2 linked regions of the Stegostoma tigrinum genome follow. The protein of the gene in region 1 purifies or fractionates together with the protein of each later gene. This does not show direct contact. Links are inferred from orthologs where the notes say so. Each region holds a gene or a part of one and is shown on either strand. Other genes may lie near its edges.

Region 1 (7,822 bases):
AGAACATTAAACATAGCATCTAGCTATGTGAACTAGTCAATCGATTTAAATGCAGACTAACGGTTTAAAATAATTTTACACACTTTAGAGATTGAATTCATGGACTACTAAGGATCTATATGTGGATATCTTTGTTCACAGCTAAATCAGCATAAGTTGGTTTATTACTGCAATCCCAGGTCTCCCAGATCCTTTACAAATCCAGATGGCACCAAGTAAAATAAGACTTGCAGAGATACACAGCGAAAGGCACACTACATTCTCTTTGCTATCAAATTTCCAGTATAAACTCAAACTTCAAGCTCAATGAAATCTCCAAATCACTGATGACTGAATGAACAGCAAGTAGAAAAAAGTTGGATATCAATGTATGTTTTGATAGTCTGCTCAAATATTTAGTAATATGCTATCTTCAACAATACTTGTACTTTGCTGAATGCAGTATTGTCTATTGTATTTCCAAGTACGATTCCAGTTTTTCAAAACGTGGTACTGTTCCCAATACAGAAACTTCACCAGCTCTAAATAAAACCTCTAAGACACAACAAATAAAATAGATGTAATACTGGCTCTATCCCAGAACATAATTGGAACTGCTGTCTGCTTTGCACTTTTGGAAAATGCATGGAATATAAACAAATTAGAAAAATAAAAATTGCAAGGTTAATAGAGGTTAGACATGACAGCACAGCATCAAGTGCTGTTTTAAGAATATTGGAATGCTGGTGTTTTAGTGAATTATCAATCTTCTTAAAATGACCTTGCTAGGTACACAGGACAAGTGCCAAATACTTTAAAGCAGATTAGCCAGCATCAAGCCAAACACATTTAACACCAAAAATAACTTACATTTATGAATCATCTTTACTTGCTAAATCATGAAGGAAGTTCAGAGGGGCATTAGCAAATTTTTAACATCAAGTCAAGTGATCAAAATATCCGTCAACAGTTTTGAAGGAGTATCTTAAAAAGGAAAAAGGACCAGCAAGATTGGCTAAGGAACTCTAAAGCTTAGGTCCCAGATAGTTGAAGGCACAATTATGAGCTGTGGAACAATTAAAATCAAGTACGATTGAAGGAGGTGAAAGTGTGTAAAAACCTCAGGGTTGTAAGGTTGGAGGAAGTCACAGTTCTTTTTGATGGTACTGATAGGGAAGGGATGAAGATCATGGATGGATTTGAAAACAAAAATGATTTCTCTTAAAGTTGAAGTCTATCAAGACAGCAGACAATATCGGATAGCGGGCACATAGATGGTGTTTGAAAAGATATATGGTGGGTGTCATGGTCAAGGCAGTTGAGTTTAGGGATAACCTCAATAGACAGACAGGTGTGAGGCCAGCCAAAAGTACAGTGGAAGAGTTTCTAGAGTGTAAGCTGAACCCCAGAGGCATCCGTCAAAGTTCCAAGAGCAGATGCACTGCAGCAGGAACGCAGCAGAGTGATTTAAAAAAAAAGTGGGAATGGGGTATTTGTGATGGAACAGGTATGTATTGGAAGCTCATCGCAAGGTCAAATAGCCCAGTTTGACCTTAGACACAGACCAGGGAGATTCTGGTGCTCAAAAGCAGAGCTTGTAGTAGAGGCCAAAGACAATGATCATCCAAGACTTGATTTCTGACAAGAAATGTTACAAATGAGAGTTAAAACTGGTAATGGAGAGGTAGATTATTGTCAATGTACATCTGGAACCTGATGTGTTTTTAAATAATGTCACTGAGGGATGGACAGGGTCTCCAATTAACATCTTATCCCAAAGACAAGGGAGCAGCATTTCCCATATAACACCATACAGCATCAGCCCAGATTTGTGTTCAACCCTCTGGAGAAAGACCACCTCAGGGGATAACAGTGCACTAACTGAAGTAGAGATACTCAAGGACAGCTCCTCTTACTTCTGTAATTTAGTTTTGCTGTCCACATTTTGACCAAAACTTGCCTTTTATTTGTACATGAAATGAGGGGATTGCTGGCTAGGCACACAATTATTGTCTATTCTGAACTGTCCAAAGGCAGTCAAGAGTCAGCCATTTTGCTGTAGGTCTGGAGTTACATAATGGCATAACACGAGTGTTTTTTTATTGCAGATGAAGGTAACTAGGGCCAAAGTCCAGTGGTTCTGTGTAGAACGCAAACTCAGCAGTTTATTGCTGGCTGACAGGAATTCACTACACCAGGGAGTTGTGGAGGCTAGATCACAACTATTTAAAGTAGGGAGGTAGACTTCAACGATCAGAGTTGAACCTGGCACGAAAGGTGAGTGAGGCCTGGGGTACATCAGCACTGATCTTACAAAAAGAGTGTGCAGGCTTGACGGCTGCATGGCCTGCTGCTGCAGTATCTTCTCATGTTCTAATGGCAGCACTGTCAACAATACCTCTTCCCCTGCTTTGTTAACATGGAAAATCTGACTGATGGGGCGGACCTTGGGGATAGCCTTAAAGAGTAAATGCAAACTATGGGAAGTGGGATTCGGTGCAGTGGCAAGTCGTGGATGAAGAGCCAGAGGAAATGGCAGATGCAGGTCCAGTGACAACATTCAAAAGAAATTCGGGGAGGGGCGTGAACAGGAAGGGTTTTGGGGGAATGTGGGCCAAATAGGAGTAATTTAGCTTGGGGAACTTGATCGGTATGGACGAGTTAGACAGAAGGATCTGCTCGCATGCATCTGCATCTACAGAGACAGGCAGTGCTCTGTGAGAACATACCCGAGTACTGCCGAGCCAGCCTGCTCAGGTCTTCCTTGTTGAACACGTGCTCTTTGCTGCTTAGCCACGCGCGGAACATCCAGATGCTGAGCCCGGCCACAGTCACCAGGACAACGGCACGGCCCAGCGTCAGCTTCATGTTAAGCGGCTCGAGCCCCGGGGTGGGGGAAAGGAGCGCGACAAACCGTCCCGGGGTAAGGGGGGAGGAGGACACACAGCAATTCGTCCAAACTCTGCGCCGCTGACCACCAGCTTCCTGCACCCACCACGTCTCCTCCTGGCTCGAACAGAAACGCCGGTTTTCCCACGGCGCCGTCACTCACCCCCGCCCCGCCCCACTTCATGACTGACAGCGCGATCTTGCCTATCGGAGGCCGGGAGTTCCCACGGTTCCCGTGTCCCCTTGACAATGAGCGTGGTGTATTGTCACAGGAGGCGGGGTGGAAAGGCCGACTGAAGTGTGCTCCGAGGTTCTCGGCGGGCTGTTGCTCATCCACTTTATCGCGAGCATCGATTTGCACCAACTGCTAAGTGAATTGCTAAACTTTAATCTATCGGCTCGGCTGTGTGCATCCTGCCTCACGAGCCCACCAAACTGAACCGGAACGGCAGACGCTGAAAATCTGAAATGGCAACAGACACTGGGTACACGCAAGGCAGTATCTGTGGGAGAGAGAAACGAAGTTAACACGGTTGTGATGAAGGGTCACGGACCCGAGGAGTTATCTCTCTGTCTCTCCTCTCTCTCCCCCTCTCTCTCCATAGACGCTGCTGAGTATTGCACTTTTGTCTTTCTTCCAAAATCCAAACCTTGTTTAAAAGTCATTTATTCCTTTGCAAGCATACACTCTATTGATTAAACTATTGATTAAGACTGTTGTGGTGCTGGTCGTATCCTGTCTTCTGAGGCAGAAGGACCAAGTTTAGGTCCCACCTGTCAGGAAGTGTATCATAGTATAAACAAACAAGTTGATTACTAACGTCTAAGGCCAAAACCTTTCAAGTGAATGTAAAATACCTAAAGAATACACTACTTCTGCTGACTGTATATTGTTTATTATAGTCTGTTGGTAAGTAACCATGGTGTTAGAATGATCGTTGCAAATTCATCAACTTTCTCCAAAAGCCTGTTAAAAGCTTTGTTTTCCTCCACCCCACATCATTGATCACAGAAGGTAAAGTTTGTGAGGTCAAATATTCATCATAAGTCATAAAGGTTTGAATAGAATCTGCACAAACAGATTCAAGAACAGCTTCTTCCCCCGTTATCAAACTTTGAGAAAGTCTTGTTTAATGATAATATTGATCCCTCTCCGTACCGTCTTTGCAGCTGTAACATTGTATCCTGCACTCTGTTCTGTTATCCTGATGCACTTATATAGTACAATCTGCCTGTAAAGCACATAAGACAACATTTTTCACTGTGTCTGGGTACACATGACAGAGATAAATCAAATCAAAAGTTGAGTAAATGTCAGAACTTAATCATATCTAGTATCTTGATTTTTATTTATGGCTAGTTGTAATTAACAATTATCAACAAATTTATAAAAGAAATAACACATACACACATACAAACACACAACATTCCACATTAATTCAGCAATGTGGTCTGATGTGCAAGAATCTGTAAGAATTTGTTTGGGACCCACACTACGTTATTAGCGTTCAAGAGAATGCAAAATACGTAGAGCTATAAAGAAAAATTGGAGTGAACTGAACCTAAATTCGTTTTGTGGGATTTGGGCATCGCTGGCTGGCCAGCATTTCTTGCCATTTCCGAGTTACCCTTGAGAAAGTGATGATGAGCTGCTTCCTTGAACCGCTACAGTCCGCCATTAGGGAGGGAATTCCAGGATTTTGACCCGGCGACGCTGAAGGAAGGGCGATACATTTCCAAGTCAGAATGGTGAGTGGCTTGGAGAGGAATTTGAAGGTGGTGGTGTTCCCATGTCTCTGCTGCCATCGTCCTTCTAGATGGAAGCGGTTGTGGGTTTGGAAGGTGCTGTCTGAGAATCTTTGGTGAACTTCTACAGTGTAGAATAGTGTAGATAGTACACACCGCTGCTACTGAGCGTCAGTGGTGAAGTGGATGTTTGTGGATGTGGTGCCATTCAAGCGGGCTGCTTTATCCAGAATAATGTCACGCTTCTCGAGTATTTTGGAGCTGCACCCATCCAGGCAGCTGGGGGGTATTCCATCAAATTCCTGACTTGTGCTTTATAGATGATGGACAGGGTTTGAGGAGTCAGGAGGTGAGTTACACAGCATTCCTAGTCTCTGACCCATTCCAGTAGCTGTTGTGTTTACGTGGTGAATTCAATTGAGTTTCTTGTCAATCATAATCTTCAGGATGTTGATAGCAGGGGATTCAGTAGTGATTGAGTATTAGGGGACAGTGGTTAGATTGTCTCTTGTTGCTGATGGTCACAGCCTTGTATTTGTGTAGCACTAATGTCACTTACCACTTGGCAGCCCAAGCCTAGATGTTGTCCAGATCTTGTTGCATTTGAGCACAGACTGCTTCAGTATCTGAGAATGGTGCTGAACATTGTGCCATCATCAGTGAACATGCCCACTTCTGACCTTATGATGGAAGGAAGGTCATTGATGAAGCAGCTGAAGATGGTTGGGGCTCGGACACTACCCTGAGGAACTCCTGCAGAGATGTCCTGGAGCTGAAATGACTGACCTCCAACAACCACAACCATCATCTTATGTGTCAGGCATGGCTCCAACCACTGGAAAGTTTGCATCTGGTACCCACTGATTCCAGTTTTGCTCAGGCTCCTTGATGCCACACTTAGTCAAGTACAGTCTTGATGTCAAGGGCTGTTACTCTCACCTCACCTTTGGAATTAAGTTCTTTTGTCCATGTTTGAACCAAGGTTATAATGAGATCAGGAGCTGAGTGGCCCTGGCAGAACGCAAACTGAGCATCACTGAGCAGATACTGCTTAATAGCACTGTTGATGGAGAGTAGATGGTGGGATGGCAATTGGCAGGGTTGAATTTGCCCTGCTTGTTTTGTCTCTGACATTCCTGGGCAATTTTCCACATTTTTGTTGTGTTGTAGCTGTACTGGAACAGCTTGGCTGAGGGAGCGGCAAGTTCTGGAGCACAAGTCTTCAGTCCTATTGGCTGAATGTTGTCAAGGCCCATAGCCTTTGCAGTATCCAGTGTCTCGAATCATTTCTTGAGATGACATAGAGTGAATAAAATTGGTTCAAGTCTGGTATCTGTAACGCTGGGGACGACTGAGGAGGCTGAGATTAATATCCACTTAGGACTTCTGACTGAAGATTGTTATGAATGCTTCAGCCTTACCTATTGTACTGACGTGCTGGGCTCTTCCATCATTGAGGATGGAGATACTTGTGGAGAAGCACAGAATCCCTTCGAGTCTACACTAACTCTCCAAAGACCTACCCAGCCCCAGTCTCCTACCCTATCCATGTAACCCTGCATAGCCATCTATCCGATACATCCCTGGATGTTATTGGCAATTTGGCACAGTTAAACCACCCAACCTGTGTGTCATTGGACTGTGTGGGGAAACCAGAGTACCTTGAGGAAGTCCACTCAGACAAGGGGAGAATGTGAAAATTCCAAGAAGACAGTTGCCCAAGAGTAGAATCAAACATGGATTCCTGGCGCTGTGAGGTATCAGCGCTAACCACTCGGCTACTGTGCTGCCCTCCTCCTGTGTTGTTTAATTGTCCACTGCCATACACGACTGGATATAACCAATTAATATGCAAACTATTTTAACAATTAATTTCTCCATATACATATTCTGCTAGATATATATAAAACTTCGAGAGGATAAAGTAAACTCAATGTTCCTAATAATGTCCCTGATTCTGTAACATTTATTAATCACAGATCAAGGCCACTCAAAGGCATGTTTGGCTACATATTACAACGTTCCTCACATTGCAACAGTAACAACATTTAAAAAACGTTTAATTGACTAAAATACTTTGGGGGACCTCGTGGCTTCAGAGAATAAATGAAATGCATTTTTTCTTTATAACTTCTTTCAGCATGTGAAAGTGCTACAATTTGTTTCCTCCTACTATAGGGAGGCAAACAATATCAACTTCATTGCAGCCATTTTGTGCTTTTGCCCACCTGGCCAGTGCAAACCCTGTGTCACCGTTAAGCTCAGGTTTAGAAGTGAAGTTTTCATGTAGAATAATCTACCAGTACTAAGCAACAGGATTTACATGTGAATAATAGGCATTCAAGCTCTGTGACTATGACTCTAATGGGCATTTGAGTGTTGTGTTGAAGGACATGTATAGAAACTTCTGAAGAAGGGTCCAGACCCGAAACGTCAGCCTTCCTGCTCCTCTAGTGCTGCCTGGCCTGCTGTGTTCATCCAGCTCTACACTTTGTTATCTCAGATTCTCTGGTATCGGCAGTTCAGACTATCTCTGTATTTCATAGGAGATAACGGGAACTGCAGATGCTGGAGGATCCGAGATAACAAAGTGTGAAGCTGGATGAACACAGCAGGCCAAGCAGCATCTTAGGAGCACAAAAGCTGACGTTTCGAGCCTCGACCCTTCATCAGAAAAGGGGGATAGGGAGACGATTCTGAAATAAATATGGAGAGAGGGGGAGGCGGACTGAAGATGGATAGAGGAGAAGATAGGTGGAGAGGGGAGTGTGGTTGGGGAGGTAGGGAGGGGACAGTCCAGTCTGAGGAGGACGGACAGGTCAAGGGGGTAGGATGAGGTTAGTAGATAGGAAATGGAGGTGTGGCTTGGGGTGGGAGGAAGTGATGGGTGAGTGGAGTGGATGGGTTAGGGAGGCAGAGACAGGCTGGACTGGTTTTGGGATGCAGTTGGGGGAGGGGAAGAGCTGGGCTGGTTGTGTGGTGCAGTGGGGGGAGGGGACGAACTGGGCTGGTTTTTGGATGTGTTGGGGGAAGGGGAGATTTTGAAGCTGGTGAAGTCCACATTGATACCATTGGGCTGCAGGGTTCCCAAGCAGAATATGAGTTGCTGTTCCTGCAACCTTCGGGTGGCATCATTGTGGCACTGCAGGAGGCCCATGATGGACATGTCGTCTGAGGAATGGGAGGGGGACTTTAAATGGTTTGAGAC
Region 2 (7,463 bases), on another chromosome or scaffold:
CTCGCTATCTGCAACTCCCCCAGTCTTTGTAACGTCCACAGACTTACTAATTAGACCAGCTACTTTTCTCTCCAAATCACTTATGTAGATCACAAACAGGTGAGATCCAGCACTGATCCCTGCGGAACACCGCTCATGACATTCCTCCATTCCAAAAACTATCCTTCCACCTCTACCCTCTGTCTCCTATGCCTAAGCCAGCTCGCACCTGACACCACGTGACTTCACCTTTTGTACTAGTCTGTCATGAGGGACGTGGACAATGGTTTTACTGGAGTCCATGTAGACAACATCAACTGCTTTTCCTTCATCAATCATCTTCATCACCCCCTTGAAAAATTTGATCAAGTCAGTGAGGCATGACCACCACACACTTAAACCATGTGTTAATTGCTAATCAGTTAATTTACTTCTAAATGTTTATAGATCTTGTTCCTAAGAATCTTTTCCAGTAACTTTCCTACCACTGACAAGAGGCTCACAGACCTGGAATTGCCCGGATTATCCCTGCCACCCTTTTTAAACAATAGGACTATGTTAGCTATTCTCCAGCCCTCTGGGACCTCAGGCGTGACCAAAGAGGACATAAAGAATAGATTCCCTGCAGTGTTTAAACAGGCCCTTCGGCCCAACAAGTCCACACTGCCCCTTGAGGCATCCCACCCAGACCCATCCCCCTATAACCCACACACCCCTGAACACTACGGGCAATTTAGCATAGCTGATTCACCTAGCCTGCACATCTTTGGACTGTGGGAGGAAACCCACGCAGACAAGGGGAGAATGTGCAAACTCCACACAGACAGTCGCCCGAGGTTGGAATCAAACCCGTGTCCCTGGTGCTGTGAGGCTGCACTGTTAACCACTGAGCCACCATGCCGTCCTGATGTCTGTCAATGCTCCAGCAATTTGTTCTCTTGTTTCCCCTCAATATTCTAGGATAAATCCCATCAAGACCCAGGGATTTATCTACCCTTAAGACTTTCTAAGACACACAACTCCTCTTCCTTTTTAACGTCAATTTCTAAACCAAGTTGCTTCTAGCCTGTGTCTCCAACGCCTAACCGAACAACCATGCACAAACTCACCTCTTGGGTTGTGACTGAGTTTGGAACTGATAAAAAGGTTATAAGGATAAAATGGAATAGTGGTATTAGTTTAGGGCTATTCCAGTAAGGAACTGCTGTAGGCACAACAGCTGAACAACCTGCTTTCTATTGAAGTCTGTCCATCTAATGTTCTTGCTCTGTCATGGTAATCTTATTAGGTTTATCACAAAGCTTAGCACTGTTAAAACTCTAGAAGTTATTTTCAAGTAACAAAAAGTTGGTGTGATTCTGTTGCTGTAATGGCAAAGCAATGGGAAGGTGACACACCTGCGTCTAAAATGTATTACTGATTTTTGGGAAGCCTGATTACCTGCATTTCTTCAATTCAAATTCATTGTAAGTTTCAGGAGGAGTTTTAATTTTTTGCCTAGTCTGGTGACTTCAGTTCCCTGTTCCATTTATCCCATTAAAAGGTTTTTTTTATAAACCATTGCTCCACAATATGGCTAGCTCCAGTGTCAACTGATTCCAGTCTAATTTCCTCTGCCAACCAGGCAAGTCAACTCGACAGTGTGAATTAAATTTTAAAGGGATGTTATTTCAGGGATCAAATTCTTGCGGGTATTTTTGTTTGCTTTTTAGGGGCTGTTAGTGTGCTTGAAACCATTAAGACCCTGTGATCACGGCAGAATGTTTGAAAAAATTCTGTTCACATTCTATACTGCAGATTCTATGTTGAACTCTTTATTTTTAAAATCATGTTCTGGTTTGTGCATTTTGTAGAACAACTTTATATTCTAAGTTTTCTTGAACCGCAAAATGATAACTGTTTCAATCAGAGCAATGCAGAATTTTCAGATATAGTTAGTGACACGTTTTTGATGTGGAAATCTCTGAAATTCATTTTAATGAGAGCTAAAGTATTTCAATCTGTTGTTCACAGCTTGCACAGTTCGAGCCCCCAAAAGAGGAAGGGCAACCTGAATAATAATTCAAGACTTCCCACGTTATCAGAAGAATGCATGAAAGGGATCTGATAAAATCATCTGGCAAATAGTATTAATTTTGGAGAATTGGCACCTATTCTGGAAGAAATGCAGCCAGTCATTTTAGGTTACACATGCCAAAACAAAAGTTACTTTAAGCTAAAAAAAATTATGCCATTGTTGTATACCTGTCTGCAATGCAGCATTTGGAAGTGGATATTCAACAGAATTTTTACTCAATGCATCTAAATTCTACACAAACATTTGATTCAGATATAGCCCTACAAACCAATGCAAGTTGCACATGTTTCATTGGATCCTAAATTTTGTTAATATTGGCATGATGTTACCAGATTTCTGAAACAAATTTCAGTAACTTTGTTTCACCAAACATGTTTGTTAAAGTCATTTTGCACTTTGTGGGGAACAGTACTGAGCACTCTTGTCTGGCATATCCTGTTAGTTTGGGGGACATGGGGACGGATAAGCTAGGGGTTAATAGCTTTAAGTCACATTAGGCCAATAGAATCTGTATATCAGTTCACAAGCCAAACTGAACAAGTGGAACTTGGCAGCAGTCAAGTATGAATGTTGACCATGTTGGATGGTTTGCTGTCATTGGGCCAGTATTTTGGACAAAATCTGGCAACCAGGCCGTGATCCACTAACGTGACTAGGCACTGGCATTTTTGGAGCAGGAGGAACATCTTATCAGCAAACTACACTAATGCTGAAACCAGGCCCATTTGGCTCAATTAATGTCCAAGTTTTATTGTTTTTTTAGTTGTACAGAAGTTCAATTTTTCCCTTTTTTGTATTCACTGAATAAATTTTCTTTGCACATCATTGGTATGTTTCTTGATGATAAAACACTAGATTAACCAGTATTAAAAGATTTTTGTTCTAGAGGCAAGCCCAGGATTTGCATTTGTAATGGAATGACACTGTCCCGCCCCTCCTTGTGTACTTGTCTCAGTCCTTCAGATGGAGCCGTGTCTAACTCTGTCACTTTCCTCTTTTATTTCTTTGCAGAATGAACTTAAGTAACTGCTCTCTTCCCTGGCCAATCATCCATTTTCTCTCAGCTTCTTATTATCCACTCCCTCACATGCTCATGTCCTTCCCCTTTCCCCACCCACCTACTCACTCCCCTTTCAGGTTCATGTTCTGTTCTCCCTTATCTTCATTTCTTTCTCTTTTCTCGATCTGGCTTCTACTCTTTTCTCTTCTCCCATCAGTATTCCTTCCAAGATAAAACAAACAGTCACCAGGATAAGTATGGATTAATATGTGAATGCCAAGTCACATTTGATTCACCTGATGGAAAACGGACTTTTGAAAGATATTGATAAAATTTGTTGCCCATAGGACAAAAGGGCCCACAGCACCTTTGAGACAAAATTACCTGAGTGACAGCGAACTACATTTTCAAACTGGAGAAAGATGTGTTGTAGGGTTATTAGGAACCCTTTTTTTTTGATATATGCTGAGCTGAGCACACATAAATTTACAGATGACAAAATCTGGAAATATAGTAAAATCTGAAGAAGATACTGCAAGATTTTAATAGGACACAAGTTGATGGAGGGGTTATGAAGAGAAGCATGGATAATTCATGCTTGAGAAATGGAGAAATGCAATATGTATTTGTAGAATTCTAGAGAGGTACAGGAACATGGGGCAAATTAAAAGCAACAAGGCACGTTAAGAAAGTATTGTAAAAGCAATCAGGATCGTAGGCTTCACAAATAGAAGTATCACGTACAGAAGCAAAACAAATATGAACTTTTGTAAAGTACTTGTCCATCACAATTCAAATATCTTGTCAAACTGCACTTGGGGAAGGATGATTAAAAACTTTGAGAAGATACAGCAATGATTAACTAAATATTAACACGCTTTGAAAATTTTCATTTGCAAAATTATCCTGATGCAGGCAAGGGAAGTGTTTACCGTGCAGAAAGATATGGAATTGGAGTAAATAAATAGTGATATCTTGAAGCATCTCTTACAATGGAGACAGTAAGAACTGCCAGTGCCGGGGTCAGAGATAACACAGGGTGGAGCTGGAGGAACACAGCAGGCCAGTTTTGGGTCAGGATTCTGAACAAAGGTCCTGACCCGAAACGTCAGCTTTCCTGGTCCTCAGATGCTGCCTGGCCTGCTGTGTTCCTCCAGCTCCACCCTGTGTTATCCGTATATTACAATGGCGGTGGTGCTGAAGTCTTAAAACACAAAAAGGTGGATAAATCCCTGGGAGCAGATCAAGTGTACCCTAGAACTTTGTGAGAAGCTAAGGAAGTGATTTCTGGACCCCTTGCCAAATATTTTGGCATCATCAATAGCCATGGGTGAGGTGCTGGAAGACTAGAGGTTGGTCAACGTGATGCTGTTATTTAAGAAATGTAGAAAGGTAAAGCCAAAAAACTTAGACTGGTGGGCAAGTTGTTGGAGGAGGGTCTGAGGGACAGGATTTATGTTTATTTGGAAATGCAAGTGCTGATCTAGGAATAGTCAACATGTCTTTGTGTATGGGAAATCATGTCCCACTAACTTGATTAAGTTGTTTGAAGACGTGATGAAGAGGATTGAAGGCACAGCAGTCAACGTCTGCATGCTCAGTAAGGCATTCAACAAGGTTCTGCATGAAAGACTGCCTAACAGGGTTAGTTCATACGGAATACAGGGAGAACCAGCCATTTGGATACAAAATTGGCTAGAAGGTAGGAACTAGGATGTTGTGGAGGGTTGCTTTTTGGATTGGAGGCCTGTGACCAGCAGTTTCCTGCAGGGATTGGTGCTGGGTCTGATTTTTTTTTTTGTTTTGTTATTTGTAGAAGCTATTTGGATATGAATATAGGAGGTATGGTTAATAACTTTGTAGATCACACTAAAATTGTTGCCAAGGATAGCAAATAAGGTTACCTTGGAGTCCAACAGGACCTTGGTCAGATGGTCTGAGGAGTGACAGATGGAGTTTATTAGATAAATGTGAGATGCTATACTTTGGTAAGGAAATCAGGCAAGAATAATACACTTAAAAGTAAGGTGTAGGGGAGTGTTGTCAAACAGACACCTTGATATGCAGGTTTGTAGTTCCTTGAAAGTCACTGGTAGACAGGTCAGTGAAGAAGACCTTTCGTATGCCTGTCTTTATTGGTCAGTGCATTGAGCAAAAGAGTTGGGAGGTCATGTTGTGGTGGTACAGGACATTGGTTAGGCTACTGTTGGAATGCTGTGTTTGATCCTGGTCTCTCTGATAAAGGAAAGATGTTGTGAAACTTGGGTTCAGAAAACATTTTTAAGGATGTTGCCACAGTTGGTAGGTTTGAGCTGGAGGAAAAGGCTGAGAGGTGACCTTATAGAGGTTTATAAAGATCATGAGGGGCATGGATAGGGTGAATAGTCAAGGCCTTTTCCCCAGCATAGTGGAGTCAAAAACTAGAAGGTATAGGTTTACGGTGAGAGGGGAAAGATTTAAAGGGAACCTAAGAGGCAACTTTTTTGCGCAGTGCATGTATGGAATCAGCTGCCAGAGGAAGTGTAGGAGGTTGCTACTGTTACAAAAATTAAAAGACATCTGGATGGGAACATGACTAGGAGGGGTTTAGAGGGATATGGGCCAAATGCTGGCAAATGGGACTAGATTAATTCAGCATATCTCGGCAGCATAGATGAATTGGACTGAAGGGTCTATTTCTGTGTTGTACATCTTTGACTCTGTAACCAGGGGAACATGACATTTCTCCTGTAAGAAGCAGTGTGTTGACTGGTAGAGATGTTACTATGAACAATACATCAGTCCTTACGTTTGTTCTTTGCAAACAATGTGGGCATTGCTGTCTCGAGTGTCCCTGATTGTCCTGTAGAAGGTGATGGTGAGCTGCTTTCTTGAACCATTGCATTGTGTTGTAGATACACCCACAGTGCTGTAAGGAAGACAATTCCAGGATTTTGTCCCAATAACAGCAAAGGATGATGAGTAAGTTCCAACTAAGGATACTGTGTGATTTGCAGCAGCGGTACTGTGTAGCATCTACAAGATGCACCTAGACAACTCATCCAGGCTTTTTAAACCTTACAAACCGATGGCAGCGACCACCAAGGAGGACAAGGCAAGAAAAGATCCCCTCTGAGTGACTCACCATCCTGACTTGGATGGTGGATTGGAAAGAAATCCCTATCCCTACGCTATTGCTGGGTCAAAATCCTGTAACCCTCCTCTCAAACAGGTCGTGTGTGCCCTGACAACACACAAACTGGAGCAGTCCAAGAATGCTGCTCACTATCACCCTATTACAGGCAACTTGTTGGGAGTTTTTTTACAGACCCCCTAATAGTTGCAGAGAAGTGGAGGAGCAGATTGGGAGGCAGATACTGAAAAGGTGCAGAACTCACAGGGTTGTAGTCTGGGTGACTTCAACTTTCCAAATATTGATTGGAAACAATCTAGTTGTAGTAGTTTAGATTTTGTCCAGTGCATTCAGAAAGGATTACTGACACAGTATGTAATAGACCAACATGAGGAAAGGTGATTTTCGATTTGGTGCTTGGCAATGAACCAGGCCAACTGTTAGACCTGTTGGTCGAAGAGCATTTTGGCGTTAGCAATCATCACTGTTACTTTTACAATAGTCACGGAAAAGGATAGGTATGTACAGCAGAGTAAGGTTTATAATTGGGGGAAGGGTAATTACAATTCTGTTAGGCGAGAACTGGGTAAAAAAAATGGGAACAGATGATGTCAGGGAAGAGCTCTCTGAAATGCGGAGATTGTTTAAGGAATGCATACTGCGTGTGCTCAATATGTTTGTCCCGAGCAGGCAAGGAAGATGCGGTTGAGTGAGGCAGCCTTGGTTCTTAAGAGAGGTTGAATGACTAGGATGCTTATATAAGGTTTAGGAAACAAGGCTTGGAAAAGACTCCAGAGGGATACAAGTTAGCCAGAAAGGATCTGAAGAAAGGGTGTAGGAGAGCAATAAGGGGGCATGAGAAAACCTTAACAGATAGGATCAAGGAAAACTCCAAGGCTTTTTACACATTAGTGAGGAATAAGAGAATGATCAGAGAAAGGGCAGGGCCAATCAAGGATTGTAAAGGGAATTTGTGCACGGAGCCTAAAGCGATACGAGAGGTCCTTAATTAATACTTTTCTTCAGGATTCATAACTGAGAGGGACCTAGTTGTAGAGGAGGCCAACGTGAAACAGGCTGGTAGGCTAGAGGAGATCAATGTTAGTTAGGAAGATGTGCTAGGAATTTTGAGGAACTTGAGGATATATCAGTCCCCTGGACCTGAATGGAATTAATCCAATGATTCTATAGGAAGCGAGGGAAGAGATCACAGTGCCTTTGACGTTGATCTTTTCGTCCTCACTGTCCATGGGTATAGTGCTGGAAGATTGGAGAGGGGCAAACGTCATTCCCTT

Evidence for each region.
Region 2: the proteins of sigmar1 (region 1) and E3 ubiquitin-protein ligase RNF185 purify together in Homo sapiens (affinity purification with mass spectrometry; 3 studies listed by BioGRID and IntAct, with this or other methods). This does not show direct contact. The link is inferred for Stegostoma tigrinum from reciprocal best matches to the Homo sapiens genes SIGMAR1 and RNF185.

What each region holds. Positions count from the first base shown.
Region 1 is NC_081354.1:147,742,260-147,750,081, forward strand, and holds the start of sigmar1 (sigma non-opioid intracellular receptor 1), read right to left. Parts: upstream 3,028-7,822; 5' UTR 2,848-3,027; coding exon 2,709-2,847; intron 2,257-2,708; exon of another isoform or gene 2,143-2,256; intron 1-2,142. UniProt on the Homo sapiens protein: Functions in lipid transport from the endoplasmic reticulum and is involved in a wide array of cellular functions probably through regulation of the biogenesis of lipid microdomains at the plasma membrane.
Region 2 is NC_081379.1:51,227,143-51,234,605, reverse strand, and holds the start of E3 ubiquitin-protein ligase RNF185, read left to right. Parts: upstream 1-4,247; 5' UTR 4,248-7,463. Other genes in the region: c-Myc-binding protein, read left to right, coding at 1,993-2,037. UniProt on the Homo sapiens protein: E3 ubiquitin-protein ligase that regulates selective mitochondrial autophagy by mediating 'Lys-63'-linked polyubiquitination of BNIP1.